Zea mays: one gene and its partner. The protein of the gene in region 1 purifies or fractionates together with the protein of each later gene. This does not show direct contact. Links are inferred from orthologs where the notes say so. Each region holds a gene or a part of one and is shown in the gene's direction. Other genes may lie near its edges.

Region 1 (4,585 bases):
TTGAGCCCGAGCCCTGGGGTCGGGCGAGGCGGAGCTTCCTATGGCGCCCGAGGCTGAACTTAGCTGCTGTCAGCCTCACTCTGTCGAGTGGCACAACAGTCGGAGCGACGCAGGCGACGCTGTTTTCTTGTCAGGTCGGTCAGTGGAGCGGCGAAGTGACTGCGGTCACTTCGGCTCTGTCGACTGAAGAGCGCGCGTCAGGATAAGGTGTCAGGCGATCCTTGCATTAAATGCTCCTGCGATACGGTCGGTTGGCGTGGCGATCTGGCCAAGGTTGCTTCTCTGCGAAGACTGGGCCTCGGGCGAGCCGAAGGTGTGTCCGTTGCTTGAGGGGGCCCTCGGGCGAGACGTGAATCCTCCGGGGTCGGCTGCCTTTGCCCGAGGCTGGGCTCGGGCGAGGCGAGATCGTGTCCCTTGAGTGGACTGAGCCTTGACCTTAATCGCGCCCATCAGGCCTTTGCAGCTTTGTGCTGATGGGGGTTATCAGCTGAGATTAGGAGTCCTGGGGGTACCCCTAATTATGGTCCCCGACACTTCTCATCCCTGGCAGCAGTGGACTATGCCACACAGGGGAATATGACAGGAGGGGCCCAGCCTCGGGAGGTGCCGCGCACGACGGGGGTCACCTTGCTCCGTCTTTGCCTGTGATGGGAACGACAAACCCTAGTGAGGCAATGCGAGGCGAGTGAGTGGCACGATTAGGAGCAAAGTCGTGGACGCTAGGGCTTGGACTCGGAAAGGCTGCCACGCCGGCAAATCTCGGCGATGCGAAGGAGGGCGAGGAGGCGGAGCACGGAGAGAAGGTCCTGAAAGCAAATGCGCGAGGCAAGCCCAAGACGGCGGAGGCGGAAGAGAAGAGGCGTGAATGGCAGGTTAATTTCCTAAGAGTTTGAGTTTTTTTTTGCAAAACACATCCGCCAAACACGGGCGTGCGAGTAAACCATGTTAGGTTTTAATAACTTTGATTTGATTGTTACCGGTAACAAGGCACCTATGATGATTTTTATAATATCAAGACTTCTCGGTTCAGTCTGAGTGTTTTGAATGTGTTGAAAAGTGAGTCATCATATTACTTTTCAAAATACATGTCTGTGTGAAAATTTAAGATCTAGATAGCATTGCAGAAAACTGTAACGCCCCGTTTGGATTACTGGAATTGAATTCTATTCCAATAATAATAATTTAGGCATATATCAATTAAGATAATTCGTTTTTATATAAAATATATTTGTATACTATTATTAGCAAGATGTCCTACATATTTATGTGCTACATTTTTACTATAGAGGAGTGGAACGAAGAATGTCATGTAAGTTACAGAGTAGAAACAAATTCTACTCATGTATAAAATCATTTCCTATCCTCCACCCTATGAATTTGAGATAAGCTTATATCTGAACTTTGGAAAGTGGTGGAATACCAAATTCTAAACTAAATAAGTTGCTTTATTGAGTGAATTCCAATTCTTTTAAAATGAAGGATCCAAACGTCCTGGTTGCAAGCTAGTTATGCTCACATTCACCGGTCACCACAGATCGCGCCCCGACTCACGACTGGCTCGTTTATAACTCAAGCGGACTTTGTATCGAGCTAGGCATGAAACACGCGCCGCCGGTCGGCTCGAGTTAGCGGCTGAGCTCAAGCTGGGAACTAGGCTCCCTCGACCTCGGCTCGTCGACAGCCGAACCCATCGTCTCACGGACGCCGAACCCAGAAGCCGCCGACCCCTTTCCCGCCGCACGGATCCAAAACCCTAGCCCCTCCTCGGCGTTTTTCCCCTCCCGGCGACGGCGAGGCGGCGGAGATGATGCGGCAGCAGCAGCAGCAGCTTCCACCTCCGCCGCAGCACCCGCCGCCCCAAGCCTCCTCCGCCGCCGGTGGCGGCGGCGGTGGCGAGTTCTACCGCGGCCCGCCGATGCGGCAGCTGTCCGCGGCGTCCTCCACCAATCTCCCGCCCGACTACGCCGCACACCCGGCCCCCCCGTCACAGCAGCAGCATCAGCCTCCTTACGACGGTAACAGCTAAACATTTCATTCACTGGTAGTCGTTGTTCCCTCCATTCTAGGGTCAGGGGAAGAGTAGGTAGATACCTATATTAGGTCGCAGGTATTGCCTTATTACTGCCAGTCCGTATAAACTCAAGAGTGTGAGATCAACTGCCACTTAAAAGTTAAACATACCGGGAGTTTCTTGAGATTTAACTGTAGACTTCTTGGTCCACCTTTGCATATCATAACTACACAAATCACATTGTAATTTTGATTCTCTGCAGCTTATGGTGACAGTTTTGGTGCTAAAAGGATGCGGAAGCCTGTCCAGCGACGAACAGTGGACTACACAAGCAGTGTTGTCCGTTATGTTCAGGTTGTTTGGATTGCTATTTTTTTGTTTGGATATCCATAATCATACAGAGTTTATTTCGGAGGACTCTGGACTTTGATCCTTTAAAGTTTATATTTTTTCTGTTTCTGTTTATATCTTAGTTTGAATTTGTAATGCATGCTTATCATCTGTTACATGCAGTTTCCATCCCATCAGTAGTGCTGATTTCCACTATGTACAATTGCAGGCTCGCATGTGGCAGCGGGACGCTAGGGATAGATTCACATTGCAGCCAACTCCAGCAGCTGTCCTGGATGTATGTTCCTTCACTCGTAATATGTTAAAAAAATGGAGCGGCAGTTGCCTATGCTATGAGTATTGATTGGTTTAAGCTTTAGAAGATAGTACCTATGTTTGATAAATACCTTCATCTGTATGAAATCACGAGCAATCAGATGTTATACGAAATTCTTACGGATTGAAGTGTTAAATGTGAATCTAGCATACAATGGACACAATACTATTGTGCACCATAATAGTGAAGTTCGACAAAAAGTGCATACGAATAATTATCATGCTAGTAATTCTTCAATTAATCTTAACATGGATAGTTACTCTATGTTAGTATGTTATGCAGAAAATCCCGTTAATCCTAATAACCAATCAAAGATCTTGATGACTAGTTCTTGTTACAAACTTATTTTGATAGCTTTAACGAATTGCAGATGTTACCTTCTGTCGCATATCCAGACAATCCCTCAACAAGTTTTGCTGCCAAATTTGTACATTCGTCAATCAATAAGAACCGGTGCTCTATTAATCGTGTCTTGGTGAGTAACTGAGTATTGTAACCTATTTTTCTGCTTTCTCAATAATCCACATTGAACATTTCGCTGTTATGTACTTGTATTCTCAGAAGTCAAGCAACAGCTTGCTGTTGGTTATACATAAATCCAATTAGCAATACCAAGCGATTATACATAAATGCAATTAGCAACACCAAGGGGAAAAATTAGAGTAGACAGTAGAGATACACCATAGAAGAAACTTGAGCTAAGAGAGGGTCTGAGAGACACATTTATCCTACGTGATTGCAGCAAAATACCATCCTTGAAGCCTTTCTTCCACTTACTGAAATCTGATTGCTTTCCTTCAAAACTATTATTGTTTCCTGACCGCGAAGCTAGCTCTATCAGGATTTCTATGAAATGTAATTCATCTCTAGGTGTATATTTCAACCATATGGATTATGGATTACTATTGTGAAGTTGTTATTTTTAAAAGCCTGTAACTGCTTACAGTTGGATAAATATGCTCATTGATATGCCATTCATGATTAACAATAATACAATATTAGAATCTACCACTTATATCCTGGGCTGATCACTAGTCAGAATTTCAAAATTTGCAATGCTACATGCAAATTACTATTGCATTTTGGTAAATTCATCCAAGCCTTGCCTTGTGATCTTGGTAAAAACTGCTACAAATGAGCATTTATTCTTTTATGCATTAGTACACTCAATGATTTCAAGTCGAGCGACTTGCTAGTCGACACACCTGGGCGACTAGGCGACTAATCGCGATTAGGACGACGACTAGGTCGACTAATCGTGGCTAAGGCAGCAGCAGATTGAAGAGGGGATTCAAGAGGGGGGGACAGATCAAGAGAAAGGTGCAGAGGGGATTCAAGAGGGGGGACAGATCAAAAGAAAGGTGCAGTGATTGAAGTTACCGTCGGTTGATGTACTCATCTTGGTGCTAATGGCTGCTGGGCCGCCGCCGCTGCAGACTGCTGTTGGGCCGCCGCCGTCGAGGACGGTGAGCTGCTGACGCCGAGGAGGAAGGTGCAGGGCTGCCGCCACCGAGGAAAAGGGTGAGCAGGTGAGCACATTGAGGAACAAGGAGGGGGCAGAGGGTACCCACCGGTGTTGCACAGGGAGAGGTGAGCCGCCGCACAGGCACAGCCACCTGAACAGGAGAGAAGAGCAAAAAGCCACCGGAACAGGAGAGGAGAAGGTGACCTAAACCCTAACGTGTGTTTTACTGTTACACTAATGGGCCCAGCCGTCCAGCCCATATCCCAAACAGGCCGAAACAGGAGCCCTGGAAAATTAATCGTCCCGACCTAAACTGGACGACTAATCGTGTTTAGTCGACGACTAATCGGACGACCGGACGATTAGTCGAGCTGATCGGGTCGGCCTCCCTAGTCGTGTTAACAGGACCGACTAGTCCGACTAATCGCGACTAATCGCGATT
Region 2 (3,816 bases), on another chromosome or scaffold:
AGATACCCTTCCCCAGACCCCGCATAGTGCGGGAAGCCTACGGCACTGGGTACGCCCTTATGTACTGCCTTATGCTCTTACTATTGTTTACTTACTAATGTACTGATTTTTTATTGTGTTTGTAAGGATTATCTATGTACAGATAGATTTCTATAGTTTAAGGTTTTTTGTTTCATTTACTGCAGCAGGTTCGCCCCTTAAATCAAGTTCTTTCTTCTATGGCTGATCAAGAATTGGGTCTGCACATGGAGAACGATGTTACAAGTGGTGGTGACCTCCAAGAGGTCTATACTGTTGATGAATTTGAAGTTCGTATTATGGAGTTGGGAAAATCCAATGGACGTTGGGAGACAAGGTCCACCATTCCGATGCAATCATTTGAAAACGCTTTAACAGTGCGCATCGTTACCTTGCAAGTATGTATGTCTTCTACACTTGTATGGATACTGCACTCAAACTAAAATTTTATTTACCAGAATATTATTGATTTTCGCCTCAGAACACATCTACGAAGGAAAATGAAACCCTGATGGCCATTGGAACTGCTTATGTTCAAGGGGAGGATGTTGCTGCTAGAGGACGGGTGCTTCTGTTCTCTTTCAGTAAAAGTGAAAATTCTCAAAATCTGGTGAGCATTATTGGACTTCTTTGGATAAAAATTTCTTAGTTTCCTACTGGCATTTCAACTAACACTCTTTATCTGGTTACCTGTTAATTTGTTTCAGGTTACCGAAGTCTACTCAAAAGAGAGCAAAGGTGCTGTATCTGCTGTTGCCGCTCTTCAAGGTCATCTACTGATAGCTTCTGGTCCTAAGATCACACTGAATAAATGGACTGGCTCTGAATTGACTGCCGTTGCATTCTATGATGCACCATTGCATGTTGTGAGCCTGAACATTGTAAGTATTGTAAATACTCTTTATTTATATGTGGTGCACGAAGGGGCTTTCATTTGAGTTGGTTAGGTGGTCTGAGTAGCACTCAGATCCTGAGTTCGAATCCCAGTGGGAGCAAATTTCAGACTGAGGTTAAAAAAGGTCACTCGCTGGTTCCTTTAGTTGTGTGCACACATGGTGGACTGACCTATGGGGGGGGATCCTCGTGTAGGGGTTGGAAGGGTTCAAAGCATGAGTACCAATCTGACTTGTAGGGGGCACATCCTCATGCTGCACGGGGGTAGCTTTCGTGACCTTTCTTGGTCGAGGCTCCGATTGAGGTTCTTAATATAGGGGGTGTTTGGGACTACTTTGCTCCACCAACTCTAACTCTGCTCTACCAACTCCATCATAGAGCAGCTCTTCTCTAGAATTGAACAATATTTTGATGTGTTTGGCTTGTAACTCAACTCCATCTCTAGAAAATTGAGCTTTTATTAAAAAATGTCTTTGTTATTCTTACGCTGATGTTGTATTTAAGATTTTTTTTTCAAGTATAAAAATATTATAATGCAACATGTAGGCGATTTACAGGTTGGATATTGATCGATTTCAAGTATAATTTTTTTGTAAGCTATTGTTTTTCTCGAAAAGCGCAGGAGAACTGCACTCCAATATATTATATCAGAAGGGAAGGGGAAAGAACCCCAGATACAAAAACCCTCCTTACAGAGGATGGAATTGGTGAGGCGTTCAGAGGTTAGCTTGTGGTGGAAGATCCACTTGCCGGTGACCACGTTGGTGCCTGGTGGAAACGGCACCAGGTCCTAAGTGTGGTTGGCCAGCAGGGTCACGTACTCCTCCATGGTGCGACGCTAGTGAGGCTCGGCGCGAACGGAGGATGGAATTGGTGAGGCGTTCGGAGGTGCGTCGAACGTCAGGACCAATCGCTCGACGAGGCGGAGAACGCCGGCCGCCCGACGAGTCACCATCGGGTGAATGTGGCTGGGTTCACGGTGGATGGCTACCGGGTGGTACACCAACGGCTTAGTGTGGGAATGAGCCGGAGGGGTAGCGGTGACCGAAGTAGTGGGCCGCTCGCGACTGTGGTAGACGATGGTGGGGTCGTCGAAGCGAGCCAGGCGAGGGCAGACGACGGGGCCGCACCGCTCGTCGACGGGGTCACACGTGGCGTGGGTAGGGGTGCGAGCGGTGGTGTCTTGGCTGTGTGTGGCACTGGTAGAGGCACGAGCCGGGGCATCTGGATCGCGCGTGGCGTGGGTAGAGGCGTGAGAGGTGTCTGAATCGGGAGGGGCCGTGGTGGAGGGACAGGATCAGACTGATGGAGGGAGTCGAGATCGGCAGGTGGGGAGGAGCCAGCAAGGGGAAAAACATCTTTGTCAAAAACAACGTGACAAGAGATGAGGATGCGTTGGGATAGCAAGCACAACCGAAAACATGAAGGTGGTCATAGGAGGAGGCGGCTGTGCATATAGGGCAAAGTGGTGAGTGGGGTGGCTCACCGCCTTCGAGGGGAGGCGATTGAGGACATGGCTCACCGCCTAGTGGTGGTGCGAATGATGCGTTCGGCCAGGCCATTATTGGGAGAGATGTAAGGGCATGAGAGACGCAACTGAACGCCGTGGGAGAGAAAGAATTAGCAAGAGGCGGAGTTGTTGAACTCGCGGCCATTGTCACACTGGAGGGCATGGACCGGGCCACGAAACCAGGTGGAGGCCCAGGCGAAGAAGTGGGTGTGAGTGGTGAACGTGTCGGACTTCAACCGAAGCTAGAAAGTCCATAGAAAATGAGAGAAATCATCCAAAATCACCAAGTAGTATTTATATTTAGAAAGACAGTACAAGAGAAGCCCAGAGATCACAATGAAGATCAAAAGCCTGCTCAGCCCGAGCGGAAGCAGTAAATGGGAGACGAGTATGGCGACCTAACTGACAAGCATGACAAAGACCCTCAAAATGCCCGCTACTACATGGAATATCTAAACTACTGGTGAGATTGGTCATGACGTCGGTCCTGGGTGGCCGAGACGACGATGCCAAGTGGTAGAGGAGATGGTGGAGGCCAGGATGGGTGGGGAGGACGCGCCGGTAGAGGGGCCCCGAGATGTCACATCGTGCGAGAGGGTCCTGGTGGCTAGATCCTTCACAAAGAAACCAAAAGCGTCAAACTCAATGGAATAAGAATTTTCGGCGGTGAACCGACGAACGGAAAGAAGGTTGTGAGTAATATGTGGAGCTACGAGAACACTCTTGAGATAGAACGGTCCTTGGAGAACCGAGGCACCTATTGAGGTGACCGGGAGAGTGGAACTGTTCCAAACAACGATCGAGGAGGGATGGGAAGAGAGGGGGATGGGAGCGAGAAAGCGTACCCGCGGTGGAGGTGGTGTGGTAGGATGCACCAGAGTCAACCACCTATTCGGAGGGGAGTGGTGTCATCACCATGGTGCTGAAAGCAGCGATGAGGGAGGCTGAGTCGCACCCTCCAGTCAGCGGGGACCAAGATGTCGGGGTGGGGGTCCTCAGAGGCGGGAACGAGGGCAGAGCCGGAGTCGTCGGAGGCACGCCATAGGGGGACACCGTCAGGAGGGCCGGCGTAGGAGGACGAGGCAGGGAGGCACCCGGGGCCTGGCTCGGCCACATGGAGAACAACGGCCACGCTCGGCCGCCACCCTGACTGGAGGGACCACTTCGGGTGGAGCAACCCTTGCGGAGACGACACCTCCGTCGGTGGTGGGAGCCAGACGAGGGGCCGCAGGGACGACAAGGGGAGGGTGGATAGGAGCCCCGGTTGACGAAGGGCGAAGGGCCTGACCCCCCGCAGGTGCATGACCACCGGGAAGCTTGCTGTAGAGAGTGGGCGCGAGTGTCTCAGTCTCCATGGTGAGCTCCTCGAGGAGAAGCTTGTTGCGAACGGCGTG

What was found.
Region 2: the proteins of WD repeat-containing protein 33 (region 1) and probable cleavage and polyadenylation specificity factor subunit 1 fractionate together in Arabidopsis thaliana (co-fractionation; 3 studies listed by BioGRID, with this or other methods). This does not show direct contact. The link is inferred for Zea mays from reciprocal best matches to the Arabidopsis thaliana genes FY and CPSF160.

Annotation. Positions count from the first base shown.
Region 1 is NC_050098.1:151,286,297-151,290,881, forward strand, and holds the start of WD repeat-containing protein 33, read left to right. Parts: upstream 1-1,704; 5' UTR 1,705-1,804; coding exon 1,805-2,015; intron 2,016-2,273; coding exon 2,274-2,365; intron 2,366-2,570; coding exon 2,571-2,639; intron 2,640-3,048; coding exon 3,049-3,153; intron 3,154-4,585.
Region 2 is NC_050097.1:87,239,743-87,243,558, reverse strand, and holds part of probable cleavage and polyadenylation specificity factor subunit 1, read left to right. Parts: intron 1-185; coding exon 186-416; intron 417-499; coding exon 500-628; intron 629-725; coding exon 726-899; intron 900-3,816. UniProt on the Arabidopsis thaliana protein: CPSF plays a key role in pre-mRNA 3'-end formation, recognizing the AAUAAA signal sequence and interacting with poly(A)polymerase and other factors to bring about cleavage and poly(A) addition.